Linked DNA regions of Xenopus tropicalis. The protein of the gene in region 1 purifies or fractionates together with the protein of each later gene. This does not show direct contact. Links are inferred from orthologs where the notes say so. Each region holds a gene or a part of one and is shown in the gene's direction. Other genes may lie near its edges. The genes, in order: pabpc4, larp1, mkrn1, paip1, g3bp1 and ddx6.

Evidence for each region.
Region 2: the proteins of pabpc4 (region 1) and larp1 purify together in Homo sapiens (affinity purification with mass spectrometry; 3 studies listed by BioGRID and IntAct, with this or other methods). This does not show direct contact. The link is inferred for Xenopus tropicalis from reciprocal best matches to the Homo sapiens genes PABPC4 and LARP1.
Region 3: the proteins of pabpc4 (region 1) and mkrn1 purify together in Homo sapiens (affinity purification with mass spectrometry; 3 studies listed by BioGRID and IntAct, with this or other methods). This does not show direct contact. The link is inferred for Xenopus tropicalis from reciprocal best matches to the Homo sapiens genes PABPC4 and MKRN1.
Region 4: the proteins of pabpc4 (region 1) and paip1 purify together in Homo sapiens (co-immunoprecipitation; 3 studies listed by BioGRID and IntAct, with this or other methods). This does not show direct contact. The link is inferred for Xenopus tropicalis from reciprocal best matches to the Homo sapiens genes PABPC4 and PAIP1.
Region 5: the proteins of pabpc4 (region 1) and g3bp1 purify together in Homo sapiens (affinity purification with mass spectrometry; 4 studies listed by BioGRID and IntAct, with this or other methods). This does not show direct contact. The link is inferred for Xenopus tropicalis from reciprocal best matches to the Homo sapiens genes PABPC4 and G3BP1.
Region 6: the proteins of pabpc4 (region 1) and ddx6 purify together in Homo sapiens (affinity purification with mass spectrometry; 3 studies listed by BioGRID and IntAct, with this or other methods). This does not show direct contact. The link is inferred for Xenopus tropicalis from reciprocal best matches to the Homo sapiens genes PABPC4 and DDX6.

What each region holds. Positions count from the first base shown.
Region 1 is NC_030678.2:91,041,005-91,045,929, forward strand, and holds part of pabpc4 (polyadenylate-binding protein 4), read left to right. Parts: intron 1-1,037; coding exon 1,038-1,131; intron 1,132-1,222; coding exon 1,223-1,353; intron 1,354-3,908; coding exon 3,909-3,995; 3' UTR 3,996-4,008; intron 4,009-4,925.
Region 2 is NC_030679.2:19,796,612-19,801,536, forward strand, and holds part of larp1 (la-related protein 1), read left to right. Parts: intron 1-598; coding exon 599-758; intron 759-2,442; coding exon of another isoform or gene 2,443-2,454; coding exon 2,455-2,583; intron 2,584-3,474; coding exon 3,475-3,624; intron 3,625-3,749; coding exon 3,750-3,912; intron 3,913-4,179; coding exon 4,180-4,324; intron 4,325-4,590; coding exon 4,591-4,765; intron 4,766-4,925. UniProt on the Homo sapiens protein: RNA-binding protein that regulates the translation of specific target mRNA species downstream of the mTORC1 complex, in function of growth signals and nutrient availability.
Region 3 is NC_030679.2:5,323,553-5,329,016, reverse strand, and holds the start of mkrn1 (E3 ubiquitin-protein ligase makorin-1), read left to right. Parts: upstream 1-2,295; 5' UTR 2,296-2,379; coding exon 2,380-2,501; intron 2,502-4,593; coding exon 4,594-4,722; intron 4,723-4,800; coding exon 4,801-5,012; intron 5,013-5,464. UniProt on the Homo sapiens protein: E3 ubiquitin ligase catalyzing the covalent attachment of ubiquitin moieties onto substrate proteins. These substrates include FILIP1, p53/TP53, CDKN1A and TERT.
Region 4 is NC_030677.2:194,888,078-194,893,602, forward strand, and holds the start of paip1 (polyadenylate-binding protein-interacting protein 1), read left to right. Parts: upstream 1-1,990; 5' UTR 1,991-2,055; coding exon 2,056-2,299; intron 2,300-5,525. UniProt on the Homo sapiens protein: Acts as a coactivator in the regulation of translation initiation of poly(A)-containing mRNAs. Its stimulatory activity on translation is mediated via its action on PABPC1. Competes with PAIP2 for binding to PABPC1.
Region 5 is NC_030679.2:16,833,633-16,838,987, reverse strand, and holds the start of g3bp1 (ras GTPase-activating protein-binding protein 1), read left to right. Parts: upstream 1-1,499; 5' UTR 1,500-1,571; intron 1,572-5,355. UniProt on the Homo sapiens protein: Protein involved in various processes, such as stress granule formation and innate immunity. Plays an essential role in stress granule formation.
Region 6 is NC_030683.2:80,839,277-80,844,201, reverse strand, and holds part of ddx6 (probable ATP-dependent RNA helicase ddx6), read left to right. Parts: intron 1-180; coding exon 181-303; intron 304-1,943; coding exon 1,944-2,072; intron 2,073-2,647; coding exon 2,648-2,764; intron 2,765-4,925.

The sequences.
Region 1 (4,925 bases):
TACCCCGGGCTGGTGCCCCTGTTCGGAGAAAATAGCACCAGCCCGGGGTACCTGGAGCGCAGCACTTCCTCCTTCCGCCTTCAGCTTCCTAAACTGCCGGTGGCCGGGCATGCACAGTAGAGCGAAAAAGCCGACTTAAATGTTTAAGTTCGGCTTTTCACTCTACTGCGCATGCGCGCGCAGCGAAGCCGGAAGGAGGAAGTGCCGACAGCTACCCCGGGCTGGTGCTGTTTTCTCCTGACAGCGGCACCAGCCCGGGGTAAAAGGTAGGCGGTTAAAGTCACTTGGGGGTGCCTAACATTTTGGCACTTTACCTTTCTTTTTCCTTTAAGTCGTCATAGCAGTGCTTAAAAGCTAAGGTAGCTTATAATATATGATGCATTGGCAGATCAAGATTCCCAGACAACAGTTATCTGTCTGGATCAGCAGGCTGCTATACATATACTGAAAATGAAGCAGTCATTCAAAAGAACATGTATGTATAGGGGCTCTAACTTGGGCTGATTCAGAACACAGTTACAGCTACAGTATATTGCACAAGTGCAGTTTCCAGTAGCAACCGAAAATCAGTTTGTTTTTATAAGTCTGCAAGTGATAGTAACCATTTGATTTGTTGATATCTACTGTTGCACTGTGGTAGTAGCAATAGTAGGCATTTTCCTGCAGATCAGCTCTCAACACTATTACCCTGTACAGATGCTTTGCGGCTACTTCCCCTAACCAAACTTTACTGACCATTACTTTATTTAATTACTTTTGCTCAATTACAATAGTAAGTAAGTCAAATAAAACTAGTGTTTCTGGTAACTATTACTTCTGTCACATATAGACTTTTGTTATAGCTACATAACGGTTCACTAATGAGCATATTCAAACACTTGATAATCCATCTATACACAAGGCTGAAAATTAAAAGAAAACGTTTTGACTCTTTAAAAAAAAAATATATATATATATATATAGAACCAATATAAAAATTAAGAAACAGTCAGCTTTTAAGCAGTGCAGATGTTATATTTTTGTTTCTTTCCCCAAAGACCCCTCAGCCAGCTGTCCATGTGCAGGGACAAGAGCCTCTCACGGCCTCCATGTTGGCTTCTGCTCCACCCCAGGAACAGAAGCAGATGTTGGGTGAGTCTTACGTTTGTTTTGTTTAAGGAAGTGGTTTCACTTGTGGGAGTCAGAGAAACAGATGAGATTTCATTTTCCATTCTGCCCACAGGAGAACGTTTATTTCCTCTTATCCAAGCCATGCATCCGTCATTGGCGGGTAAAATTACAGGAATGCTGCTGGAAATAGACAACTCAGAACTGTTACATATGTTGGAGTCCCCAGAGTCTCTGCGCTCTAAGGTATGTAGCTCTGGCTGTAGTAGTTACTCCGATTTCAGGTTTTTATCATTTTTTTGTTAATTTTTGTAATAAATTATCTGTTTACCGCATTCCATTTTTACCAATACAGATTTCATGCACAAAATGGTAATTGCCGTATGGCAATAGCTCAAAGGGCATTTTTACCTTCACCAGGGATGTATCTTCTATATTAGGCGCACATATATATATATTTAACGTGTATTGTGTGTATATAATATGTAGTAATATAAAGTCCAGCACACTCTGCTCTTGTGTACACAAAACAATAATATTTATTAAATTAATTTATATTTATTATTTCAGCTCCATCAGGAACATCCACATAGTGTAAGACAATGAACATAGAAAACAAAAATTGGCGCCAAAGTGAAGTATGTGACGTCATCACCCTGATACCACCAGTTGATGATGTTACATACTATACAATGGCATCAGTTTTTCTATTATTTGTTCACTGTCTTATAGTATGTGGATGTTCCTGAAGAAGGCTCCTGAATAATTCACCACTGAATGCCACTGCACTCTGGTGGTCAAAACTTTTCTGTCCACCTGTCGCCAGTCTTAATACTAAAGAATGAAAAGTGCAGAGGTCTGTCTAAAACCTCTCCATGTAACTTTACATTCAATGGTATTAGGAGCAATTACAGATGAAATCCTTTATTCATGTCCATTCACATCAAGGAAAAATAGCAAAATTCAGGGCACACCAATATGCGAAAAAAAACCCCCAAAGCTTATTTAACAAAACCCAACATGTTTTGACTCAACATTTGGGTCTTTATCAGGGGCTCATGCATTGAAAAAAATGCAGGCAATCAGTGAGCACAAAATACAAAGTTGTAACAAGCATGCCAAATACAGCTTTCTGTCTTCACCGCTCAGCTCTACTTCGCATTTCCTGGTTCTGACGTTATATCCGGAAGTGATGTCATCTCCTAGCAACAACTGTGCCCTGAATTTTGCTATTTCAGTAGTGCAGCTGGGGACTTTCAGTTAGCCCCCGTCAGTGAGCATCCATAAGTATTAAAAATAATAATAACATAAATAATTGGTGTGCCATCCTGTCATCTATATATCCACATCAAGTAGAAAGTGAGGAATGGACTATAATATTAATAAAGCCTATAAGGGATCCCTGGAAATAAATGTAAGGTGGCAGTGCTTTCTTGGAAAGATCATCAAACTCAGCAACTCTACCCCGCCCCCTGTAAATTAGCCTTTACTTGTCCCTTAATTTGCAGATATATTTTATTTTAAATATACCTTATAAAGGTGCTCTATAGAAAGTGTTTTCTGACAACTGCTGCCAGTTGACTAACAGTATTTGAAAAGGGTTGACAACAAGATTCTCTACATATATTCCAAAAGCCAATAAAATAAATTGGGGTTGCCATATTTTTAAAGAATTTATGATGCATTTTCTCTTCATCCTTTGCTAAATATTTTTGCAAACTTATAGAAATGTTTATGATGATATACAGTGAATATAAAAAGTCTACACACCCCTGATAAAATGTCAGGTTCCTGTGCTGTACAAAAATGAGACAAAGATAAATCATTTCAGAACTTTTTCCACCTTTAATGTGACCTATAAACTGTACCACTCAATTGAAAAACAAACTGAAATCTTTTAGGCGGAGGGAAGAAAACCAAAAAACTAAAATAATGTGGTTGCATAAGTGTGCACACCCTTGAACTAATACTTTGTTGAAGCACCTTTTGATTTTATTACAGCACTTTTTGGGTATGAGTCTATCAGCATGGCACATTTTGACTTTGCAAAATTTGCCCACTCTTCTTTGCAGAAACACTCCAAATCTGTCAGATTGCGAGGGCATCTCCTGTGCACAGCCCTCTTCAGATCACCCCACAGATTTTCAATCAGATTCAGGTCTGGGCTCTGGCTGGGCCATTCCGAAACTTAAATCTTCAGTTGAAACCATTCCTTTGTTGATTTGGATGTATGCTTTGGGTCGTTGTCATGCTGAAAGATGAAGTTCCTCCTCATGTTCAGGAGGTGGAAAAAGTTCTGAAATGATTTATCTTTGTCTCATTTTTGTACAGCACACGAACCTGACTTTTTATATCCACTGTAAATGCATTTGTGTTTAAATCCTGAGGCGTATTTACAATAAAAACTTATTGGCTTATTTACAGTATAAAAAGCTGGCTGTGTTTGGTGGTGCAATTAACATGCTGTAAATTGGAAATTAATTATATTGACTGACAGCAGTTCATATTGTTCTTCTGTCAAACTATGGGAAAATCTTAACATTAGATGTAGGGAGATTGTTCCATTCTAATTTAGTGCCATGGTGCTATAGAATCCATTTGACAAGGTGAAAACTATAGAGGCACATTCCCCCATAGTGAAGCTAAAACCTGGTGGTTACTGAAATGTCAGCTGAGTGTTAAGGTGTGTTGCAGGGGTAGTAATTAAAATGCGTGGTGCACTACAATTAGCTTTAAGTGTACATTTTTATTAATCTATGTAGTGTATACTGCATATCTAATGTTCAGTGTTTCATTTACAGGTGGAAGAGGCAGTAGCTGTGCTTCAGGCTCATCAAGCCAAGAAAGATGCTGCACAGAAAGTGGGAATTGTCACTGCTACCTCTTGAACCAGGCTGACCTGTAAGTATCCACACTAGTCAGTATGCAGGGATATTCCCCCTAGATCTGATGGTTAACAGATTGTGTAGCTGTCTAATACAAATTTGCAGAAAGCAATACATTTACTTTAAATATTAGGGTGCATTCTGCAAGAGGCTTAAGTTTATTTTGTGTAAAATATGGTATGCACTGCTTTCATGTATGCATACACTGGAAATTTTTAGTGGAATTTTCTATACAACTCTTGTGCTGTTCTATAAGTAGAGGGGAAATAGTGTTCACAGGCCTGACTGGGATTCATAAGAGGACCTTGCATTTTAACTACACAGAGACTAAAACAGCCCCCCACAAGACCACTAAGTAGTGACTGTCTAAGGCTTCTTATAGCAGCCCCTCCGACAGAACCCACAGATTGCCATTCCCTACCTGAGTTGTTATATGTCTTCAAACATGTGTCCTTTTTCCTTTAGATGTAGGTACCTGACTAGAGGAGCTGGCTCTTCTGTGCTGCACCATAACCGGTGTAACTGTTGTTTGGTTTGTCCCACATACAAGTCAGAGCACTCGTCACTGCACTGCATGTACAGTGTTACTCTTCTTATGCTTTGGGATTAGGTCTTTGGGGTGAAACAGTTGCTATCTCAAGCTTAAATAGAGGTGGGAGTGCAGCATCTATTGTCTGCCACATATAATGCTGTTTTTTCACCCACCCCTCTCCCTGGAAGGTTTATTAACCCCTCATAGCTCCAATCATGCTAATACAATTAACACCTTCCCTTCATGAAATCCCTAACCCCATGCTGGTTATGATAAACAGATTATGCTGATTGGAGCAATAGTCCAGGGTATTTATTCCAGAAAGATCCTAGCACAAGTCATTCTGAATTGAGAAAGCCAGTAGGATGACTGGTGAAACATCATTGAGTAAAGCACAGCAA
Region 2 (4,925 bases), on another chromosome or scaffold:
GATATTCAGCTTTACTGTTCGCAAGCTGGTGCTATAAAGTGGGGGTGCTTTTGTATGAAGTCTTGTGTGCTTTATACCTTTCAAGATAGATTGGCTAGCTGGCCAGTGGCCACAAAACTGCTCTGCTCAGTACAACCTCACTTCTTTCATTGGCTGGGAAAATATTGTGAATGTTAAGGGGGCCATAGTTGGACTAAATAAGCCAAATGGATTGCCTATCAGAAAGTAAAGTGGAGATGTGGCCCTGTTGTATCTGCTGATGCTTCACGTCAGAGATGTCTATGGAGCTTTAGCAGATTTTCAAACTTGCCCTATCGGTGAACCAATTGTATCCATTATACTTAGATATCATTTAGGATTGTAAGAACACCATGCCAGCTTTAAGCCACATGGCATCAGAATGCCCTTTGCTTAACAGGGCCAAGCTTCAATAAAAAGGTAACTGCCACTGACTGCCCTTCCCACCTGACTAGTAAGCAAAGGTTGGTTGATACACTGGGCAACATCAATTTAATAGGAGCAAAGTAAGACTGTGTCAAACACTAAGCAGGCATTCTGATCTTATTAAAGCCTTTGTCTTTTTTGTTTTTACTTCTAGCCGCCTACCAAACTCCAGCCAGGCCGCAAGTCCCTGGGCAAGAAGGATATGAAAGAGGAAAGTGCAGACGGGAAGGAAAACCAGAGGGTGAAATCAGATGAGTCCAGTGAGGAGAAGAATGGCGATGACGATGGCCAGAGATCAGCTAACAAAAAGAAAGGTACAGTGAGATTTCCTTTAACAATACAGTTTTTTGTTTTTTTTTAATCCAAAAAGGTTCAGTGTCAGTGAAGAAACCTTAAAGGTGTTAGTCAGATCTAAACAATTGCCTCCTTCAAGCACCCAATCCATACTCACCAGCACACTCTGTTCCGCCTGGTGCACAGTATTTAGAGAGACGTCGGCACTCTCCACCACGATCCAAATAGCACAAAAATACCGGCACAACAGGACTTATTTAAGCGGGATAAACCCTGCTGATTTTTAATAGTAGCAAACCATGTAACGTTTCGGTGGCACGCCCCTTCCAGCACCACCATTAACTGTTCTATGCCTCCTTCCCATAATGCCAGATTTTTTGACTGGGCAAAGGCTCAGTAGGTTGAAAAACTGTTGTTAAACAGTGTCTTGATTTCATTCAATTTTTCTCCTGGCATATTTTAATTCTATAACCATACTGTGCTTGCCTTAAGAGTTTTTATTTTTTGAGCAGTATTACCAGTATATGCACAGTATTACCATTCTTCAACCACTAGATGGTGCTGTTCAAATAGCCATAAAGAATTCCTCAAGCTAGGCAAGCAAATAACTAGTAACAGGAAAAACGTGAAAGGGGTTTGAATGCTGATTCATTGATACTACTTTTTTGGTGTTACTGCTTATTTAAGCATCTGTTAACCATATCTGCAAATGCAGACATGAATTGAAAGAATGTTGTGTATGCTCTACCCTTTCACAGCATAGTAGTTAGCGGTATATTATATCTCATCGCACTGCACCTCTCTAATGAAAGCTAAACCTATATTAGTGATCATGCTTAGTAGGGGCTATAAGGTTGCTACAGTAACTACTGTATCAAATTTTAGACAGTGGGTGACCTTCCCTTACCATGCTTCTCATAGGAAAAATGAGTGTGGAAAGCTTAAAGGTGCCCATACAAGTTAAGATCCGCATGAATGGCTGCCCCCAAGGCTACACAGCAGCTTTATTTATATAAACTATATTAGTGTTACTGTAGCAAACACACAATGTTTACCAGTGCAGGGCAATAGTGCATTATATTTCATTTTTTATATTACTATTCCTTTAAAGGGCACATCAAAAAATTATTTTCTTCACCAGAGGTGGTGGTAATTGAGCCTGCACTTTAGAAAGAGAAAACAAACTCTGAGCGCTACTCCACATTTCCTGGGAGAGACCTTTAGAGTATAGGTGGCTATGTTGGTGCTCATTCGCATAATGAGTGTGCGGGGCACATCACCACTCCTATGTCACTAATGTGCTTGCTTGGGAGTATTGTTTTCTCCGACCAGACTGCAGGCTCTATAAGCCCACACCTCCAGTGGGGGAAACTTTTTCTATGATTGGTGCCCTTGAATGTAACACAACAGCAAATCCAAAACCGCAGTCCATCCTGCTACCCATTGCAATCACAATGCCTTGTGTTATGAAGGCAAAATATACCCTATTTGTCCAGCAGTGTTCACAGAATATTCATTTTTTTTGTGTGTGTGGATGCTGAGCAATTGTATTTTGTGTTTCTTATTCTTGTATAAAAAACATTATTGTGAATGTTAAGTTTGCATGTTAGCAACTTTAGTGAATTTAGGGTATTAGAGGGAAATCTGGGGGCTTTTCTGGAAAACTGGATTGAAATGAATCGGATTTAATTTGTAATGCTGAAGCGTTTCCCGCAGGAAACAAACACAAGTGGGTTCCCCTACAAATCGAGATGAAGCCTGATGGACCAAGAGAGAAAAATGCATCCAGGAACAACCGGCAAAATGAGCAGCAACGGCACCCGCTGAACCGCAGTGACCCTAAAAGTATGTTTAACTAGAACAGTTTTCTATCTAAGGCAAATTGGGACTAGGATAATAGGTGCCAAGTTTTCAACAAACCAGCAAAGGCTAATTTCTTGTTGGCTGTTATGTGTTATTTGAGCTGAAGCACACTTTATACCTGTTCATGTGTCCTCAAAGGACCAGTAACACCCAAAAATAAATATATTTTTGTGTGCATTTAAATGTGCTATTACCACTAGAAACCTAAATATATGTATATTAATAAGCAGCTGACTGAAGCCATTCAAGTGGAATTATTTGTAAGAAGAAAAATGCACTTTAGGATATTAACCAGTCCTTCAAGTTTTCTGTTAAAGTGGGCTCAGTAAATACAGGAATATCTGCAATGGCATGGTTTTATGGTGCCACTCTGTGGACATACACGCTAAACGAGCAGATTTTTTTCCCTATATCCCCACCTAAGGTGGGCAGTATTGAACTAATTTGATTGTCTCTAGGGCCAAACAATTGAATTACAACAATGGGCATAGCACCCATTGGACCAAGGACCATATCAGTGAGCTGATGCCGTCCCCAATTTGATGGGCAAATCAAACCTGCCTGATTTTCTCCCAGGTATTGATCAGGGAGGACCATTGGGGGCCCCAAACTCGGGCAAATACTCTGCTGAATCAGTCTAAAGGACTTGAATAGGCAGCTTAAATCTGCTTGTGTATGGCCACCTTATCCATTCCACAAACTTTGCCACCATCTCCATATGCATATAGATGCGAATGGTCAGAAGATGAATATGCAGTGTGGGAATTTTTACCCTTTAGAGCCAGGCTTTTTTTTTTTTTTTTTTTAACCATGGGGATGGCCTCCAGAGCCTTTGTTGGTGTGTTAAGTGTTTGTCTCTACCCCCCAATACAGCAATGTATCCTGATAACAAGTCTGAGCGCGATTGGCAGGACTTCGATGATACGTCCAGCGTGAAAAGTGAGGGAGCTATCAGGGGTGGCTTTAGGGGCAGAGGACGTGGCCGAGGGAGAGGAAGAGGACGTGGTCGAGGAGGCACCCGTTGTAAGTGAAAGTTGTATATTATAACATTTTCTAAAAAATTGTTTCCCCCTATACCGCCATAATGAAAATTATATATAGAACAGTCCAGATCATACACTTTTTTTTTTTCTCCTTTCAATTTACAGCTCACTTTGACTATCCGTACGGGTACAGGAAATTTGATGGTTCAGATGTAACACGTGGGCCAAAGTTTCTCAGTAATATCACTTATTACTACGACAACATGAGCAGTTCAGAGCTGTACAGTGTGGACCAGGAACTTCTAAAAGACTATATCAAACGACAGATGTACGTTGCCTCCATGTATTAGACTGGCATAGAAAGGGTGGATTGGGCCAAGATATTCTGATATGCTTCCTTAGGTGACGTTGGGTTTGTCATAAACGTAGGTGCTAAGTTATAAAAGTGCACTTGCTAATAGCTGCTACTTAGCAAACTGAGAAAATGAAAACTAAGTTGTGATTAGTTGCTATGGGTACAATGCACTTTTTGTGGTTTAACACCTTTCGTTTGTAAATTAGATTGTTTTTTTTACTTTTGTGCTTTTTCTTGCAGAGAATACTATTTTAGTGTGGACAACCTGCAGAGGGACTTCTTTTTGCGCCGGAAGATGGATTCTGAAGGTTTTTTGCCCGTTGGTTTGATTGCCAGTTTCCATCGAGTACAGGCTCTTACCACAGATATTGAACTGATAGTCAAGGTAAAGTGAACTGTGTTGAATTTTGTTTAAATAAAAAAAAATATATATACTCAGACCGTACCACTGTTGCTCTTCAGAGCATCTGTGGCTCATGTTAATGAGCACATATATGTTGATGATGAAGGCTTCTTGTGCAGAACTGCATGTCCATATGTTACCAGTATTTGTCATAAAATAAGATGAATGTACCCATTCTTTGATTGTGTGCATGTTTATAGATATATTTAGATAAATGTGTGTGTAAATGATGCCTTTGTGTTCTGCAGGCACTAAAGGATAGCAAAGTGGTAGAGATTATTGATGAGAAAATTCGCAGGAAAGATCAGCCAGATATGTGGCCACTTCCAGGTCCCTCCCTTTCAGATGCTTCCCAGACCGACTTCAATCAACTCATAAACTGTCCTGAATTCGTCCCCAGGCAAGGATTCCAGAAGGAAACAGGTTAGTGACCTTCAGTTGTTAAAGGTATTTATGACAGAAATGTAATTATAAGAAACTTTCCCAGTACACATACATTTATATAGTTGTACAGGCATAAGATCCATTATAAAGAAAGTTTTGACTTATAGGAAGGCCGTCTCTCATAGACTCCCTTTCTTCC
Region 3 (5,464 bases), on another chromosome or scaffold:
GGCTGTTCCTGCTGAATTGTGCTTAGTACAGGGGAATCCCTATGTGCCATAGTTTTATGGTATCTCTCTGTACAGGCTATGAGCAAACTTAGGGGCTGTTCCTGCTGAATTGTGCTTAGTACAGGGGAATCCCTATGTGCCATAGTTTTATGGTATCTCTCTGTACAGGCTATGGGCAAACTTAGGGGGCTGTTCCTGCTGAATTGTGCTTAGTACAGGGGAATCCCTATGTGCCATAGTTTTATGGTATCTCTCTGTACAGGCTATGAGCAAACTTAGGGGGCTGTTCCTGCTGAATTGTGCTTAGTACAGGGGAATCCCTATGTGCCATAGTTTTATGGTATCCCTCTGTACAGGCTATGGGCAAACTTAGGGGGCTGTTCCTGCTGAATTGTGCCTAGTACAGGGGAATCCCTATGTGCCATAGTTTTATGGTATCTCTCTGTACAGGCTGTAGGCAAACTTAGGGGGCTGTTCCTGCTGAATTGTGCTTAGTACAGGGGAATCCCTATGTGCCATAGTTTTATGGTATCTCTCTGTACAGGCTATGGGCAAACTTAGGGGGCTGTTCCTGCTGAATTGTGCTTAGTACAGGGGAATCCCTATGTGCCATAGTTTTATGGTATCTCTCTGTACAGGCTATGAGCAAACTTAGGGAGCTGTTCCTGCTGAATTGTGCTTAGTACAGGGGAATCCCTATGTGCCATAGTTTTATGGTATCTCTCTGTACAGGCTATGGGCAAACTTAGGGGGCTGTTCCTGCTGAATTGTGCTTAGTACAGGGGAATCCCTATGTGCCATAGTTTTATGGTATCTCTCTGTACAGGCTATGAGCAAACTTAGGGGGCTGTTCCTGCTGAATTGTGCTTAGTACAGGGGAATCCCTATGTGCCATAGTTTTATGGTATCTCTCTGTACAGGCTATGAGCAAACTTAGGGGGCTGTTTCTGCTGAATTGTGCTTAGTACAGGGGAATCCCTATGTGCCATAGTTTTATGGTATCTCTCTGTACAGGCTATGAGCAAACTTAGGGGGCTGTTCCTGCTGAATTGTGCTTAGTACAGGGGAATCCCTATGTGCCATAGTTTTATGGTATCTCTCTGTACAGGCTATGAGCAAACTTAGGGGGCTGTTTCTGCTGAATTGTGCTTAGTACAGGGGAATCCCTATGTGCCATAGTTTTATGGTATCTCTCTGTACAGGCTATGAGCAAACTTAGGGGGCTGTTCCTGCTGAATTGTGCTTAGTACAGGGGAATCCCTATGTGCCATAGTTTTATGGTATCTCTCTGTACAGGCTATGAGCAAACTTAGGGGGCTGTTTCTGCTGAATTGTGCTTAGTACAGGGGAATCCCTATGTGCCATAGTTTTATGGTATCTCTCTGTACAGGCTATGAGCAAACGTAGGGGGCTGTTACTGCTGAATTGTGCTTAGTACAGGGGAATCCCTATGTGCCATAGTTTTATGGTATCTCTCTGTACAGGCTATGGGCAAACTTAGGGGGCTGTTCCTGCTGAATTGTGCTTAGTACAGGGGAATCCCTATGTGCCATAGTTTTATGGTATCTCTCTGTACAGGCTATGGGCAAACTTAGGGGGCTGTTCCTGCTGAATTGTGCTTAGTACAGGGGAATCCCTATGTGCCATAGTTTTATGGTATCTCTCTGTACAGGCTATGAGCAAACTTAGGGGGCTGTTCCTGCTGAATTGTGCTTAGTACAGGGGAATCCCTATGTGCCATAGTTTTATGGTATCTCTCTGTACAGGCTATGAGCAAACTTAGGGGGCTGTTCCTGCTGAATTGTGCTTAGTACAGGGGAATCCCTATGTGCCATAGTTTTATGGTATCTCTCTGTACAGGCTATGGGCAAACTTAGGGGGCTGTTACTGCTGAATTGTACTTAGTACAGGGGAATCCCTATGTGCCATAGTTTTATGGTTTCATCACTAAATTCTGCTAACACTGCTGGTTCTGAGCTGTAATTATAAACAGACACAAATTTCACAAAAAGGAACCGATTCAGAATGGGATATTTCTCTAGGCAGACAATATGGCAGCTCCCGTACAGACACAATTGTACATGACAGGACTGTGAGGAGCCGCTAATGGAACCCAGTTACTATGACATCACGCTGCACTGAAGTAACCGCACTGTCAGTTCCCACAGAAATCCCAGGTTTAAAGAGGGCGGAGCCAGTAAATGTATTCCGCTATTGGCTAAAACGCCAATCAATTACTCAGAAGGGGGTTGGTCGAACTGAATCCACGCCCCCTCCCTTCTTTGGTTACCGGAAGTTTTGGAATCGGGCGCCTCAGCGCGCCGGAAGCATGTGACCGCGGAAGTTCCGGTGTTGTTTATAAGGGGGGGATAAACAGGAATGGCGGAGGCAGCGGCGGCTCCTGCACCTCTCACATCAGCAGCCGCGGCAGGGAAGGCCCCGCTGCCCGCTTTCCCCGATAATCCCCCCGTGGGTGGCTGGACTCGGCACGTCGCCTGCAGGTACTTAGCATCCGGGGGGGCGGGGGGGCTAGACGCACAGTGTTACCGGGGGGGGCTGTCAGGGGGGGGGGCTGTCAGGGGGGGGGGGCTGTCAGGGGGGGGGGGGGCTAGACGCACAGTGTTACCGGGGGGGCTGTCAGGGGAGGGGGGGCTAGACGCACAGTGTTACCGGGGGGGCTGTCAGGGGAGGGGGGGCTAGACGCACAGTGTTACCGGGGGGGCTGTCAGGGGAGGGGGGGCTAGACGCACAGTGTTACCGGGGGGCTGTCAGGGGAGGGGGGGCTGTCAGGGGAGGGGGGGCTAGACGCACCAGTGTTACCGGGGGCTGTCAGGGGAGGGGGGGCTAGACGCACAGTGTTACCGGGGGGCTGTCAGGGGAGGGGGGGCTAGACGCACAGTGTTACCGGGGGGCTGTCAGGGGAGGGGGGCTAGACGCACAGTGTTACCGGGGGGCTGTCAGGGGAGGGGGGGCTGTCAGGGGAGGGGGGGCTAGACGCACAGTGTTGCCGGGGGAGGGAGAGCAGCTCCATTGAGGGATGTGGGGAATAAACCTTCCGTCTGCTGAAACAGACAATGCTGATCATTTACTGATAACTGTCTGTGTGTTTAGCAGAGGGGATTCCCACTATTGTCTATGGCAGGGGATTATCAGGCGTTTAGTAGCTGCTACTAAGTAGCATGGGACTGGCGGGGCGCGGGTTCCGTAGGGCTGGGACTGGCGGGGAATGGGTTCCGTAGGGCTGGGACTGGCGGGGAATGGGTTCCGTAGGGCTGGGACTGGCGGGGAATGGGTTCCGTAGGGCTGGGACTGGCGGGGAATGGGTTCCGTAGGGCTGGGACTGGCGGGGCACGGGTTCCGTAGGGCTGGGACTGGCGGGGCACGGGTTCCGTAGGGCTGGGACTGGCGGGGCACGGGTTCCGTAGGGCTGGGACTGGCGGGGCACGGGTTCCGTAGGGCTGGGACTGGCGGGGCACGGGTTCCGTAGGGCTGGGACTGGCAGGAATGGGTTCCGTAGGGCTGGGACTGGCGGTGCACGGGTTCCGTAGGGCTGGGACTGGCGGTGCGTGGGTTCCGTAGGGCTGGGACTAGCGGGCATGGGTTCCATGAGGGTGGGACTGGCGGGGCACGGGTTCCGTAGGGCTGGGACTAGCGGGCATGGGTTCCATGAGGGTGGGACTGGCGGGGCACGGGTTCCGTAGGGCTGGGACTGGCGGGGCACGGGTTCCGTAGGGCTGGGACTGGCGGGGCACGGGTTCCGTAGGGCTGGGACTGGCGGGGCACGGGTTCCGTAGGGCTGGGACTGGCGGGGCACGGGTTCCGTAGGGCTGGGACTGGCAGGAATGGGTTCCGTAGGGCTGGGACTGGCGGTGCACGGGTTCCGTAGGGCTGGGACTGGCGGTGCGTGGGTTCCGTAGGGCTGGGACTAGCGGGCATGGGTTCCATGAGGGTGGGACTGGCGGGGCACGGGTTCCGTAGGGCTGGGACTAGCGGGCATGGGTTCCATGAGGGTGGGACTGGCGGGGCACGGGTTCCGTAGGGCTGGGACTGGCGGGCATGGGTTCCATGAGGGTGGGACTGGCGGGGCACGGGTTCCGTAGGGCTGGGACTGGCGGGCATGGGTTCCATGAGGGTGGGACTGGCGGGGCACGGGTTCCGTAGGGCTGGGACTGGCGGGGCACGGGTTCCGTAGGGCTGGGACTAGCGGGCATGGGTTCCGTGAGGGTGGGACTGGCATTCCAGGTGCATTAGGGCTGGGGGAAATTGATAAAGGTACTTTAGTTCAGGGGAATTGTGGGACAGGGTTAGCAGGGCGGGGCCAATATATTTAGGGGGGTATTTACTAGAGAGAGATCAGATGAGAGGGAAGCATTGGGAGCCCGTTAGTTCATGCAGTGAGAGACTGTTGGGGCAGGACTGTGAGTAAGTTTGCTGGAGGCACAGCCCTGTCCTTCTCAGTTAAAGGGTCGGCCAGATCAACCTTTTAGGGATTAAAGGGGGGTGTGAGGGTGCCGGCTCTGTCACTGTATAACGGAGAGTGATCCCTCTGTCTGATTGGTTGCTGGCTTGTCTGTCACGGTGTTTATGATGCAGGTACTTCATGCACGGCGTGTGTAAGGAAGGAAGTAATTGTCGTTATTCCCACGATCTCACCAGCAGCCGATCGACCATGATTTGCCGATATTTCCAGCGAGGCTGCTGCGCGTATGGAGACCGCTGCAGGTAAGTGAGCGCCACTGAGAGCTGTCTATTCCCCCAGTGTGAGCGCTCTCGGCTCATCTCTCTCTCCCTCGTTGCAAGGTACGAACATACCAAGCCACTTAAGGAAGATCTGATTGGAAATACCTCTACTGCGCGGAGCTGGCCGAGTGAGTCCCCCGCGGAACCGAGCAGCAATATAAACAGTAAGGCAGCTGAATTGGCAGCTAGTGAGCTGGCAGCTGGGGGTCCACAAGCTGAAGACTGGGTCAATGCCGTGGAGTTTGTTCCGGGGCAACTCTACAGTGGACGTGGTAATTGCTTGGGCGGGGAGCACCATACCAGCCAGGCAACCCCACAAGTTCCTTTGTTTTTACTTTCACTTTTATTTTTATATACTTTTTAATCACCCCCAGCTCATTATCATCTGAACTGTTCCCCCCCCCCCCCCAGGCTGCACATTTGGTTTGGCCAAGGCTTAAAGGGGTGTTTTACCTTTCTTCTTTCAAATGGGGGTCACTGACTCCGGCAGCCAAATACCTATTGCTCTGTGAGGCTCCAGTTTTATTGTTATTGTTACTTCTCTTTCTATTCAGACCATCTCCTATTCATATACAGGTATGGGATCCCTTATCTGGAAACCTGTTATCCAGAAAGTTCCGAATTACGGAAAAGCCGTTGCCCATAGACTCCATTTTTATCAAATAATCTAGAATTTTAAAACTGATTTTCTTTTATCTCTGTAATAATAAAACAGTACCTGTAC
Region 4 (5,525 bases), on another chromosome or scaffold:
TAACCCAAACTATAGGGAGCCCGCTAACCCAAACTATTGGGAGCCCGCTAACCCAAACTATTGGGAGCCTGCTAACCCAAACTATTGGGAGCCCGCTAACCCAAACTATTGGGAGCCCGCTAACCCAAACTATTGGGAGCCCGCTAACCCAAACTATTGGGAGCCCGCTAACCCAAACTATTGGGAGCCCGCTAACCCAAACTATAGGGAGCCCGCTAACCCAAACTATAGGGAGCCCGCTAACCCAAACTATAGGGAGCCCGCTAACCCAAACTATAGGGAGCCCGCTAACCCAAACTATAGGGAGCCCGCTAACCCAAACTATAGGGAGCCCGCTAACCCAAACTATTGGGAGTCTGCTAACAAAAACTATAGGGAGCCCGCTAACCCAAACTACAATGTATCAGGAAGAAAAGTGCCTATGGGAGGCAGAGAGCGAAAAAATCCTGAGCTGCGGATAATTAGCGATTAAACAAGTGAATTCTTGCCTCCAAATAGCAATTAAGCATTGGAGCTTGTTATAAGAAACTGAAATTCTGACCTGTCCACCTATAGTTTCCATATCACATGCTGCATGGCTGCTAGTAGCCCCAGTGAGAGGCGCCCCACATGGCTGCTAGTAGCCACAGTGAGAGGCGCCCCGCATGGCTGCTAGTAGCCACAGTGAGAGGCAGGGCTGCATGGCTGCTAGTAGCCACAGTGAGAGGCATGGCTGCTAGTAGCCACAGTGAGAGGCAGGGCTGCATGGCTACTAGTAGCCACAGTGAGAGGCGCGCTGCATGGCTGCTAGTAGCCACATGCCTAGAGATATTGCTAGAGATGCAAGTCATGCACACATGCATAATAGCATGTATATAAAAGGAAAATAAAGGAACTGCAATGTGACCATTGGCCAGACACCAGCCGATTCTAGCTCCCGATATCAGCCCTTTAAGCTGGCCATACACGCACCGATAATATCGTACGAAACCTTGTTTCGTACGATATTCGGTGCGTGTATGGCAAGTGGGAGAGTCGACCGGTATCGCAGGAGGCTGCTGATATCGGTCAACTCGCCGATCGGCCAGGTCAAAAGATTTTGATTGGGCGCCATAGAAGGCACCTGAGCAAAATCTGCCGTCATGGCTGAATCGGCAGAAGGAGGTAGAAATCCTATTGTTTCTACCTCCTTATCTGCTGTTTCAGCCCTGAAGGTTAGTGGCGGGTCTGATGGTCGCACGATAGATCGCAGATTGCCACGTGTGTGGCCACCTTTAGAAAGATTCGGCAGCTTATCTGCCCGTGTATGGGCAGGAACAATGGACCTGGTCTGAAATCGGGCAGGTTTGATTTTTCCATTGGATTGGGGACCACATTGGCTTGTTGATGCGGTCCCCCAACCGATGGTGCCTATGCCCGCTGTTCTAATTCGATAGTTTGGCCCCAGGGTCAAATAACCAAACGAGCCAGATATGGCCCTCTGTAGGTTGGGATATCGGGAGAATATCTGCTCGCTTGGCGACCTCGCCGTGTATGGCCCCTGCCAGGCTAAATAGAGAGATAGTGTTGGAGTAAAGATGGGAGTGGGTTGTGGGGGTGGCAAGTTGGGTATAGAGAAGAGGCCTGTAAGAGGGGGTTATGGCAAAAAGGCTGCCTACAAGTAAGAAGGCAGCGCAAAGGGGGAGAATAAAAGTGGATTTCTTCATAAATCCCAATAAGTATTTAACTGCAAATAGTCCTGTGACCGCTGTTTGCCGGTCTCCTCATATGCGGTTTCGTCTAATAATAATAATTCCGGCGGGTCCAATAGCTGCCGCTGAAATACACTTGTCTCTTTGTTGAAGGAATAGACGCCCTCCTAACGCTAGGTGGCGCCGTGTGTATTTTACGTTGTTACGGCAGGAAGAAGCGCTCTGTTTACTTTCATTTTTGGGTCCTCCGGGCAACAGGTGGCGCTGATTTATTTGTTTTCTCCAATAACTTACTGCATGACTGTGACAGGGGGCGGGCTAGAATTGTGATCGTTCGGGGCCCCGGGGGCTGTTCCCGCTGGAGCACCGAGTTTCCTACAGCGTTATGTCCGATGGTTTTGAGCGGGCCCCAGGGGCCGGGAGGGGCAGAGGGCGGGGGTTGGCAGGCGGGACAGGGAGAGGCCGTGGGCGCGGAGTAGAAACAGCAGAGGGTGGGAGAGCACCGGGCTTCAGTGGGGCCTTGGGCGCTGGGGACGAGCCTGGGAGAGGCAAAGCCGCGGCTAGCCAGCAGCAAGAGCCCCTACGGCCGCCTCGTACTGGGCCGCCTGGAGGAGGAGATGCCGGAGCAGGTAATTCCCCTCAAGTCATTTTCTCTCTAAATTCTCTGTCAGGGACCCTGGGAGTTGTAGTTCATCAGTAGCTGGAATGCAGCTGGAGGAGCTTTCCTGTAATTCGGGGAGGGGAATTGCACCAATGGGAGTAAAGAAAACTGCAGAAACAAAGTTTTTGTTTCCATAGAAGGAAAACTAAACCTCAAAATGATGGGGGCGAAACTCTTTGTCTTGAGAAATGTGCATTGGCAGGGGTTAGTGTCTGTAGCTGCCATCTTCCCTGTCATCACCCTCCCCTGGGGCAGTTGCAGCAGGGCACATTGCGCAGTACCCTCCCCTGGGGCAGTTGCAGCAGGGCACATTGCGCGGTACCCTCCCCTGGGGCAGTTGCAGCAGGGCACATTGCGCAGTACCCTCCCCTGGGGCAGTTGCAGCAGGGCACGTTGCGCAGTACCCTCCCCTGGGGCAGTTGCAGCAGGGCACATTGCGCAGTACCCTCCCCTGGGGCAGTTGCAGCAGGGCACATTGCGCAGTACCCTCCCCTGGGGCAGTTGCAGCAGGGCACGTTGCGCAGTACCCTCCCCTGGGGCAGTTGCAGCAGGGCACGTTGCGCAGTACCCTCCCCTGGGGCAGTTGCAGCAGGGCACGTTGCGCAGTACCCTCCCCTGGGGCAGTTGCAGCAGGGCACATTGCGCAGTACCCTCCCCTGGGGCAGTTGCAGCAGGGCACATTGCGCAGTACCCTCCCCTGGGGCAGTTGCAGCAGGGCACATTGCGCAGTACCCTCCCCTGGGGCAGTTGCAGCAGGGCACATTGCGCAGTACCCTCCCCTGGGGCAGTTGCAGCAGGGCACATTGCGCAGTACCCTCCCCTGGGGCAGTTGCAGCAGGGCACATTGCGCAGTACCCTCCCCTGGGGCAGTTGCAGCAGGGCACATTGCGCAGTACCCTCCCCTGGGGCAGTTGCAGCAGGGCACATTGCGCAGTACCCTCCCCTGGGGCAGTTGCAGCAGGGCACATTGCGCAGTACCCTCCCCTGGGGCAGTTGCAGCAGGGCACATTGCGCAGTACCCTCCCCTGGGGCAGCTGCAGCAGGGCACATTGTGCAGTACAGAGAGGAGACTGGCAGGAGTGAGCCCATCATTGTACCCCATGTGTGCTTGGTGAGTGCCTGTCTGGGTATGAAGTCTGACAGAACCCCACCCCCCTGTTTTAAGTTTACTTTCCCTTTAAGAATTCAGAATACAGAACGTCTCCAAAAAAAACTGTGGAAAAACGTATAGCATTAGTAAGGCTTTTGGCATTAATAACAATAACCTCGGCTTCATAATGATGGAACCAAAATGGGGGAGACTGCATTGCTCCAGACTTAGTTGTGGGGGTGGCATTTACACAACTGTCATTTGGGTGTTTGTGAGTAAGTGATTTTCTGGCCTAAATTAGTAATTGACCAAGAAGAACAATCCTGTACCCCCTGCGGTCTTCCTGTCACTGTTCTCTTGGCATTACCTGGCATTTTAACTTCCAAATGTATTTGCCAACCCTCCATCTGCCAGTATTGTGTATCACCCTACCTACATCTCTGTTCAGTCTCTCCTCCCCACACATAGATGCCCCTTACGGTAAAGTGTTGCAGCCCACCATCTTGTCACTGCCCACAGCATGCTGTAATCTGACCAGTCAATGCCCAGCATGTCTGCTTCTCTATCCCGCCACTAACCATTGTATGTCTGATGCCCAAGGGTTAGAGGGGTAGTTCCCATTTCTGTTAATGCCCTGTGTGCGATATGCTTCATCTGTCATTGTCTAACCTGTTCTACCCAATGTCTTCCCATCACTCTATCTGTTCTACCTGGCACACTGTCACTGGCCATCAAGGCTGGCACCTTCCAGGTCACCAGTCAGGCTTGGATTTTTGCGCCAAGTAAAGTGTTACATTGTCATGGGACTTATTGGGGCAGAACCTGACATACATTGAGCTTAGAAGAACCCCCTGCAGCCCAGTCATTCCTTTAGCTCCACCCATCTGGATAAGGCTTGGGGAATGAGTGGGTTATTGGTAACAACATCTAGATGGCTACTGGTTGCCCATGCCCTGCCTAGTTCATACACTAGCTGTATGTATGGCTTCCAGCAGTTTCCCCTGGATAACCTTTTGGTTTGATAAGTGTTCTGCTGCTTCCTGGAATAGACTGTGCTCAGATTCAGTGTCTGGCTATTGGGAAATCAGTCATATGCCTTGCAAAGGGGAAGCTGTGCCTAATGTTTAGCAATAAGAGAGTCCTCCTTACATTTCTGGAATTCTTTGGGATGTACATGTTGTTACATTTAATATATTATATAATTTTTTTATACATATCATTGCACAAGAGTATTGAAGACTAATTTAAATATAATAGCAGCGTATATTGCAAATATGTTAGTTTCACGTTGGTCTGGAATGCAGATAAGATGTTGTAAGATCTATAAACTCACATTAGAATAATGGGGAAGGTATTTAATTCATTTTATTTGCTAAGTGCTCAGTAAATTGCAAGGTTATGGGTTTCTGCACAGGGAGCATCATCTGCATGTTGATTTATATGAACCAGAACTTCCATACGGATGCTCGGCCCAATTGGGCTGTATTGTCACAAGTGGCAGAATCGTTGCATAGATTTACCCCTCCTTTTTATTAAAATGCCATTCAACTCTTTATAGTGGATTATTCCCATGATCTACACAGGGCAGTAATTCAGCAAGTACTTTTCCTGAATTTTGCACCCCAAAAAAAAAATCCAGTTTTATTTTTTAGAAAATAACATTCACAGAGTATAAAGCTGTTTCGGATACTAACTAGATATGGCCCTGGGGCCTTCTGCATGTAGAAAGGATTATTACCCTCTAGGTTTTGACCCAAACATGGCTTTCCATGCAAATTTGATTCAGCCACTGTGATCCCTCCTGCAATAAAAAATAGTAATTAATAGGGGTTTGGGTTGCCAGACTATTCTCCCAACATAATTTGGTTCCCCTAAACAACAAGTTAAGAAATACTGGCATATATTGCATTTTAGAAAGAACCCTATTCCTTCCCTTATTATCTTTGAGCATTTGGAAAAAAATGCAGTTAATACGTTTCCCTGATTTGATATTTTCTCATAATTTACATGGTTTTTTTTAGCCCCTGAAAATGTAAAATTGGAGATTCTAGTTTTTCCCTCAATGTAAAAAGTAACTTGGTGATAGAGTAGTGATCCATGTTGG
Region 5 (5,355 bases), on another chromosome or scaffold:
AGAAGGCCCTCTCTAGGGCTCTCCCTGGTACTCCCGCCAAGCGGACACCCCTCTGAGACCTCACGCCCAAGCACCCACTGGATTAGGTAATCTCCTTACCTGACTCCAGCTATGAGTGCTATCCCACTCCTGTAGGGGTGATGACTACCCGTACTAAATAACCTGTCTCCCACTCCTAGGGGCACATTTACTAACCCACGAACGGGCCGAATGCGTCCGATTGCGATTTTTTCGGAAAATTATCGCGACTTTTCCGTTACCAATACGATTGTTGCGAAAAAACACGAGTTTTTCGTAGCCATTCCGAAAGATGCGATTTTTTCGTAGCGTTAAAACTTGCGCAAAAAGTTGCGATTTTTTCGTAGTGTTAAAACTTGCGCGAAACGTCGCGCCTTTTAAGTTTTACCGCTACGAAAAAAGCGCAACTTTTCGCGCAAGCTTTAACGCTACGAAAAAATCGCAACTTTCGGAATGGCTACGAAAAACTCACGTTTTTTCGCGCAAATCGTATTGGTAACGAAAAAGTCGCGATAATTTCCGAAAAGTCGTAAAGGCGCCGAAAAAAATCGCAAAAAATACGAAAAAGTCGCAAAATGTTCGTTTTCCAATCGGAATTCTTCCAATTCGGTCGGAATTCGTGTCTTAGTAAATCAGCCCCCTAGAGTGAGCTATTATCTCCAGATCTACTATCTAAACACTAGCCTGTCATTAACCTCTGTCCAGAGGGGGTCCCAGGCAGAAAGACCTAGCAGCACATGGCTGCATTCCCTTATATACCTAATGCGCTACCCAGTGGCTGCTAACTAAAACTGCAGGGCTACTCCCTGTTAACTCTTAACCTCCCAAACCACCCTTGGGAGCCTGTACTAGGGGAATCATCCTAGAGGCCCAATTTTGGAGATCCCTACGTAGGTATGAAATATTTTCTGAATTCCATTGTTTTTTCCATTTGACTAACTATTAAGATTACTATTTTGTATTATCTGTTTTTATATTTGTTGGCAGGATTATGTGCTTTTTTCTGCCACCTTGTGTTAATGTAGACATTTATCTTTAAGAAAATCCCCGTTTCTGTCCTGTCTATTAAGGCAATATCTGCTCGGGGATTGGCCAGCGTCACATTTTTCCCGCCTCTCTTTATATTCACTCAGGGTTTCCTGCTCAAGGTTACAGGGTCCCTCATGCTTCAACAACCACACTAGCATTGTGTCTGAGAAATCTTCCGACCAATAAGCGCTCGGCTAACTTGTAGGAGCAGAAGGGCTGTCTTTACTGCTGTATTCTGCTTTGCGTTTGGCTGCTGGCTGTAACCATAGGCGGGTTTCCCTCTAGCTTATTGGTTTTATGTGTTGTCGATCTGAGTGATTTTCCGCCTATTAGCCCAATAGGATTCCGAAGTGCTTGCGCTGGGCGCCTTGATTGGGTAGTTAGGAACAGCAAGTTTGGCTGCGACGTTAGTATATGTAGCCGGCAGCTGAGCACGCCGCTGCTTGTGCCGACGCTGTGTGAGGTGTAAATTTATCTAGGCTTCTACGGAGCGCCAAGCCTGCACCAAGCCGGACCTTTCACAGGTACGAAGACCTTAAACATCCTTAGGTTACTCTATCAGAGCGTTGCGTATATTTTTGATACACGGTGCCTTTGTCGCTGCATTACCTCATGTCTTTCCTTGACGTAACGCGCGCTTTGCCTCGGGTGGACGCGGCCTTTATTGGGTTGGTATAGAGACGCGGTGTGCTCCTCAAGGAAGCGACGGAGAAGATGAATTCGAACCCGTGTGCTTTTGTTTTATGGCAGAAAGGACCGTTTTACTGTCGGCAGAGAGGGGCACTCGGCATCACAGGGGCACTTTAGGGACTATGTAGATTAAAGTATGCAGTACCTATTCCATAACATGTTAGTGTCAGTAAGTAAGGGATTTACTACCAGCTTCCACCACTTTCAGGCTGTGTTGTAGTCTTATCTTTTAATCCAACTTCTATGCAGTTATGTTCCCTCAATGGGAGCTCCAGACTTACTGCATTGCAAGGGCCCTCACTTTATCTTTAACTTCGGTTCCGATGGCAAGGTCAGCCATTCTGAAAACTGTCAGACTCCGTTTGAAGCCTAGGGGGCTTCCAGAGGGCCATACATTAAGTATGTTCTTTTGTTAGGCTTCTTTGAGGAAGGACCCCAGGGATTGTTATTGGTCACCATCTTGACTACTGATAAATATATATATTTATTTTTTTCTCTGTGCCAGAATTTCAGAGGTGGGAAAGTGTACCCTTAGAAGAATTTGTTAATGTTTTTGTTCCAACTTAGTCAACATACAGACTTAAGCCATTCATGCCCAGATTTGGTTGTCCAACATGGCTGATTTTGACCAGATTCTGACCATTTGAATGAGTATGTATGCCATGTTTTGGGGGTCTCCTTATTGGGTATGATTGAACATTAAGCTCCTCTTCACTTCTGGTGTTTCTGATCTTTTGTGCAGTCAGCCTAAAGCAATGGAACCGTGCAGTGGCAATACATGTGTACATATGCCCACAGGTTGTAGAATAATATTGTATGGCTAAAAGTTAAGTATCTATTGTGCCAGCACATTTACGCATAGATATACAGAGATTATACACAATTCCCATTAGCTTCTGCCCTACTGCTGCTTACAATATAAGTACTATATCAGTTTACACAGTGGGGGCAGTTATATCAGGACCCAGTTAACCTGCCTGTATGACATGGCAATATCATTGGCAAAAATCCTTGGCGATATTGCCTTACTTAGAACCAGGCACGGTAGAAGTGCTACCCAAAGATCTGATTTGTTACAGGAGAATTTAACCTCTTTATACTGTTTCAGTTCCCCACAGAGGCTCATTTGCCCAACTTTGCCAACCTGTACACCTCAAGGAGGACCCCATTACAGGGGAGTGGCTCTATTGTGATTCATATGTGGGAGGTTTTTTTTTTTTCTGCAGTAGTGATATGTGGGCTTCCCTGAAAACCACAGATTCGTGCCAACAATTTGTGAGTATTGAGCCAAATTTGCCGCCAACCCAACTGCTCCAAGCCCCACTAGTTCTTCAACTTCCCCTTACCCCTCTAATAAAAGTGTAAAATCTAAAAATAGTTGGGGCACTATGTGTTAGGGTTGGGTGCAGGTTGTAAATAATTTTGCAAAAATACTTTGCAGTGCACCAAAAGATTTAGGACAACAGCTTAGGACAATAACTTGTCAAGATGTGCTTCAACAATATTCTTTCTATACTTCAGTATGTTTGTGTGGGTCAATTAATAGACCTTTTCTTTATTATTATTATTATTATTATTTTTTTTTTTTTTTTTTAAATGTTCCCTTTCAGCATGGTTACTCCAAAGGTTTGAATGCCTGCCTATAATGAAATTGTTCAGCACTGTAAAGTCTACACTACCAAGGTCACAAATAAGCTGAAGAAATAAACAAGCAGTCTTTTAGCCCAGTCTCTCTCGTGAGGGCTACTGCAATATCATGGTGCGGGATGGACATTCGCCTAGGTTAAGTGAGGGGAAGGCTCTTTAAAGCAGCCCATTGCTAAGGGAGATATATTCTTGTGGCTCTAAAGACACATTTAAAGGTTTTGGAATTTTAGTATCAAGACCTGTTGCAATTTAGACATCCCTGTTCCAGATCTAAATTGACATCTGATTTGACAGCTCCTTAGATCCCAGAAGGGTTAATAGTCTTATGACTATGTCTTTCAAGAGCTGTATGCGATCAATTTGCTGCCACTCATGAACCTGCCTAACTGCCAGTGGGTCTCACGTTTCTGCTGTAATTTGTGCAGGAAATACTCAATACCATTTAATTGTGCTGTACCAGATTATTATAATGAAACTTTATTGGTGGAATATTGGTGAAGCACATCTTGACATGTTATTGTCCTAAGCTGTTCTGCAGCAGCCGTCATGAAGGTCTGCACTGTGCAATTACTAATCATAACACGAGTAAACCCAGACAATATAAACACCTTATTACATTACATTACATTAACATTTATTTATAAAGCGCCAACATATTCCGCAGCGCTGTACAATAAGTGGGTTACATACATTGGACATACAGAGTAACATATAAAGCAATCAATAACCGATACAAGAGGTGAAGAGGGCCCTGCCCAAAAGAGCTTACAATCTACAAGGAGAAAGGGTTGAGACACAAGGTGTGGTAATGGGCATGACCAGAGTTGTGAGAGGTGGGGCACAGGGTATTGCTAAACTAGATTAGGGTAAGCCTCTCTAAATAAATGTGTTTTTAGAGATTTCTTGAAGGCAGAGAGATTGGGAGAAAGTCTGACAGTTTGTGGGAGCGAATTCCAGAGAAGGGGGGCAGCCCTTGCAAAGTCTTGAATGCGAGCGTGTGAGGAGGGAATGAGAGAGGAGTTGAGGAGCAGGTCAGTAGAGGAGCGTAACAAGCGGGTTGGATGGTACCTAGAGATGAGTTCAGAGATGTAGGGTGGGGCAGAGTTATGGACTGCTTTAAATGTGAGGGTCAATAGCTTGAATTTTATCCTGGATGGTAGGGGAAGCCAGTGCAGGGATTGGCAGAGCGGCATGGCAGAGGAGGAGCGGTTGGAGAGGTGTATGAGCCGGGCAGCAGTATCTCAAGCACTGCAGCTATAACAATACTGAAGGAAATGCTTGCTGTGCAGCCCTGTGGCTAAGTGGTTAATAGAGATTATCCATATTTTATTTACATACATCTCTATAGGTGTGCCTTCACTTAAACTATCATTTTTAGAAGGGCTTTTCTCAAGAAACTTCATGTTAAAATTACAGCCACAGTGTTATATTGTCCTGGGGCTGTTCGGTGGCAATTGGTTATGCTGACTTCATCACACATACTCGACTGTCAATCATGATTTCTCTTGGATATTTTACTAATCATATTACAGAAATTTTCCTGCATTTTTCCTAATATGCCCCTTCTTAGAGAAACTATAACATGTAGTTTAATTTAGCTTTCCAGCCTTCTCCTTGAATTTGCATTTGTATAGGCTTTCGCCGAATTCCTAGCAGTCTTAAGAAATGTGAGCAGGAGATATTACCAGTTGCCATTAATAGTCATGCTTGTCTTGGCTAAGCTTTCAATGTGTAATGTAGCTTATCTTATTTTATTTTGCTTTAGTGTTTTCCACCTTTTTTGACCTGACTTCCTTGGCGTTATTTTAGAGGAATTTTGTTGTCTTTGTATGCTGTTGCTAGAAACAATTCAACCATTATTGCATGGTTACATAGTAATTAATCTGAGCCATGTGACAAGCAGGCTTAGAGATGCTGAAGTCACAAACTGTAATAAGCTCATTAGGCTTCTTGTATTCATTTAAGTTAGAA
Region 6 (4,925 bases), on another chromosome or scaffold:
ATTACTTTTTCATAAAGGACAATTTGTATCTAAATGTAAAAGTATTCACATATAAATGTGTCAAATAGTGCTTTTTTTTTTTTTTAATTTTGTTACTTTCATGTTTATAAATGACTATTTTAGTTATGGTAAATTATAAATGTTAACTATTTTCTGCCAACTTTTTTTTTTTTTTTGTAGGCAGACAAACTACTGTCTCAGGATTTTGTGCAAATAATGGAGGATATAATTATCACGCTACCTAAAAACAGACAGATTCTACTTTACTCAGCCACATTTCCCCTCAGTGTTCAGAAGTTTATGGCAAGTACAGAACTCTATTATTTTGGTTCAGATTCATGTTTGCAACTTGTCCTTTGTGTGACTTGTTAGTATATATAGTTAATGGGTCACTCTTCCAGTGAATAAATCCCCAAAAAAATGAAGTTGTTTACCTATAGAACATGTTTACTAGTCAGTTGCACAGAGATCTGTTCTCAGAGTCCAGGCCGAATTGCAAGATGGGAGTTACTGTTTCCCATAGGTAACGGACTTTTTCATAAACAAATGAACAGTGACTAAGCTTGCCAAAGTCCTGCCCTTCATTTTTGCACTGTCTTTCTGAAGAAATCTGCGCTCTGAATTCCAGTGGTAGTTTTGTTTTACTATGAACTCTGCTGCTAGAAAGGATGAAACCTATTCAGTAGTACATATAAACAATTCTGCCTTATAACATGGGGTTGCTGCTGGAATTCAAGTGCAGATTTCTTTAGAGAGAACAGGTGGCTAATCCGAATATATGTCTTAAAGCACCCAAGCCACAAGATAAGTATTTAATTGACTTTAAAGTAAGAGATGGAAGATGTAGCGAAGGTATGCACTAAATAAAAACAAAGCAGAGGCATGTCTAGAACAAAAAACCTACTTAGGAGGAAGGCATGTCTTCTGATCAAACATGGCCAATAAGAGCAGATCTGTTTGCTGTTCTAATATTTGTATAACTGAGCTCTAAAATCTGATGGCCATTATGTATACATGTGCTTACCAGCAACCTGCCTCTTGGCCTCCTCAACTTTGTTTGTAATGTACAATCAACTCAAAAAATATTGAAGCCATGATTGCAGAGATCAAAGTTTTTTAGTTTTGAAAATCTGGTTTACGCATGTGGAGTTAGGAGTCCCCAAGCCCTCCACGTGCAGTAATCTTAATCTATGCCTGGATTGAGATATTTGGGTTACATGACCCTACCAAATGTCATCGCTGACTCTCCTATCTTTGCCCATTCCAGTGGAAACATTTAGATGTTGCCATAGTGACGTCGCCAAGCAAGCAGATCTTGGTGTATGGGGCCACCTTAAGAAAATCAAGGCTTGCTTGAGACTCCTCCAGTTACATGGGAGTAAGAAAAAACAGGTTACCTAAAAGCATTTCTAGCAGTAAAATCCATGGCTGTTAAACTTCTTGCAGTCAGGGTTGGACTGGGGGGTGAAGGGCCCACCGGTGCTCCCACCCCAGGGGCCCCCCTAACCCTCTCGCAGGGCCCCCCCACCCGACATCATCCCCCAAACGCATAATTTTAACACGGCAGGGGGAGCACTGGCAAGGGTCGGGTCTGGGCTGCCAGGGCCCACCGGGATTTTTCCCGGTGGCCCAGTCTGGCCCTGCTTGCAGTAGAAACTTCTACCTTCTACTTTGTATGTCTGTATACTTTTGAGTAGACTTAACTTTATGGGGACTTTAATATATTGACTCTTTATAATGCTGTTACATTGAAGTCTGCAGGAAAGCTCAGGTGTAGCACAGTCTGAGCCAGTGGCCACCACCTGAATTTTAAACCACCGCTACATTAGGTGCTGGTCAGATCCCAGCTACAAATCTTGATTCAAGCAGTTTTTTGGCAATTTAAGAATTTTGTTCCTATTTTTCTATGCTACATGCTAATTCCATAACAATTTTTATTATAGACTTCCCATTTGCAAAAACCCTATGAGATTAACCTGATGGAGGAATTAACGCTGAAGGGAGTAACGCAATATTATGCCTATGTGACTGAACGGCAGAAAGTTCACTGCCTCAACACACTGTTCTCTAGGGTAAGGAATTAATGTTATCGTAATGTTTTCTATAATGCCGTAAAGCTTTTCATTTTATGAAGTTTTTTTTAATTTCATGTGTCTTTAGTATTAGTGGTAATGTGTATAAGGTGAAAATGCAGGATTTGGTGAACTAAATTTTATAGCACAGCCCAGCACACCGATATACATGAAAAAGGAGGACACTCTGTAAAAATCTTTGCCCTTTACCTGTGTGCTGATCACCAGTGCTGTGAAGTATTGCAGCCCCACGGCTTTCTAAAGATTTGTGCAGGCTGTAGTCTGTGCAGTTGGAGAGAAGGGTAAACAAGTGCAGGATTTAGTGGGGTTTTTTTTTTTTTATTGAACTATACAGATTTTTTTTTTTTCTTTTAAAGTATATTGAAGATAGGTTTGTTTTTCAGCAGTAATGTAAAACATAAAATGTAAAACCTGTAAAAATCTCATTAAGATCACTGTACAACAATAGAAAAAGCTTCTATGTTGGCAACATTAGACCAGGCTTTTATAGTATGTCTACACTAGGGGTGCGTGTTCATTTCTATAAATTGCTAATTGTACATGTTCCTTTTTAGCTCCAAATCAACCAGTCAATAATTTTCTGCAACTCCTCCCAACGGGTTGAACTCCTGGCTAAGAAAATATCTCAGTTGGGCTATTCGTGTTTCTATATCCATGCAAAGATGAGACAAGTATGTAAATTTAAATGCCTTTTAAAAAATGTTTTGACCTGCAGTGAATAAGTATTTGGCTGTATTACTTGTATATGTATGCTCAATGCAGTTCTTTATCTCAATATAAGCACTGTGAAAAGTTCCTAGGATAAGTACATGCATGTGAGTGCTGTTTAGGGTACAGACAAAATTTATGGCCCATGGATAAACATGGGCCAGCAAATTTTACAGACCTGCCTTGCTGGATGAGCCTGGCACTTGCAACATTGTTTAAAAAGGAGTTCAGAAAATGCTGCTTTCTATAGCAATTACATTTACAAATAACTTTTAAAGCACTGATATTTATTAATAAATTGATATTGGAAAGTTGCCTAGAATGTTTTTATTAGGTAAATATTTTTTGGTTTGATATGCCCTTTAACCCTTTTACTGCCAGCCATTTTGGTCAAAGCGGAACTTGTATTGCCAGACAGTTTTTGAACATTTTGCACTGTTTCACTTTAGGGGCCTTTCCTCGGGGGGACTTTTAGTTTACCAAGGAAAACAATATATCGTTTTTTTCAGAACAACCTAAGCTTTCAAAATATGGTAGAATTTTTGTGTAATTCCAATTCTGTAACAAGATATAGGCTTCTAAATGTCTAAAAATGCAAAAAAAATCAAATTTTCCATAATATAATCACACATACTAGAAACAAAAATTATTTTATGCACGAATATACAACTGATTTGGAAAGTCCCATGTCTCCTGAACATGCCAATACCAAATATATATAGTTTTATGGAGATTTCTCACTTGTATAGGTCAAAAACTCCCAGCAGTACACTACCAAATTCCCAAAGCACTGCTCCAAAAAAACTGCATACTTTGGATTTCAAGGCCAAAATTCCACTAACAGAAGGTTTATCCCAGAAAATTGTACATTTTTGGAAAGAACAGATTCTGGGGAATACAGAATAGGCACAACTGTCTGTCTACTCCAAACTATCAAGTCGCAATGCTTTCCTAAAGTTATTGGTTTTTATCAAAATTTGTGATTTTTTTTAAAAATCGCTTCAAAGCTTCTAGTCTATAGTATCTTATCTCCTACAGGTCATAAAGTAACCAAATAAAACACCCTAAATATTAATGCCTGGGGTCCACTGAACAGTTTGATGCCCAATATGTATAGGTTTACCTAAGTATGTGGCATGTAGGGGCCCCAATGTGAACATGCCCCCATATGTACTGTCATTTCTGTCATTTCAGCTTCTGCAAAATCAACACATTTACATCATTATATGTGGGATAAAGCTAGTAAAAAGTATGCTCACCCCAGAAAGTCATATATTTTTGGAAAGTACACATTCCCCCGAATCTAAAATGGGTACCTATGTCTTTCTACTCCAAAGTACCAAGCCGCACAGCTTTTCTAAAGTTAGCAATTTTGATGACATTTCCAAAAATCCCCTCAAAGCTTCCACTTTGAAGCATCTTATCTCCCACATAGCATTAGGTACCAAGATAAAACACCCTGAATTTGAACGCCAGGGGTCCACTGAACAGTTTGATGCCCAATATGTATAGGTTTACCTAAGTATGTGGCATGTAGGGGCCCCAATGGGAACATACCCCCATATGATCTATCATTTCAGCTCCTGCAAAATCAACACATTTACATCCTTTATGTGGGATAATGCTACAAAAAAAGTACATTCACCCCAGAAAGCCATATATTTTTGGAAAATACACATCCCCCCGAATCTATAATGGGTAAATATTTCTTATTGCTACAAAGTACCAAGCTGTAAAGCTTTCCTAAGTTTGCAGATTTATATGACATTTTCGAAAATCGCATAAAAATGTTGCAATTTGCCGCATTTATCTCTCACAATTTCTTGATAAAGATCAGATAAAGACAAATCACCCCAAAAAGGAACACCAGAGGTCTACTGAACAGTTTGATGCCCAATATGCATAGATATACCAAAGTCTGCGGTATGTACTGAACCCAAAATGAAAATAGCGCATAAGGATTTCTCGCCTGCCAGCTCAGCTTTTGCACACAGAGCCCCCTGTCAGTGTATTATGTGCCAAAACTTCCCCTAACCATACAGTGACCCCCACAAAACCATATATTTTTGGAAAGTACACATTCTGACAAATCCAACAAGGGTAAAGAGTCCTTTCTACACCAAA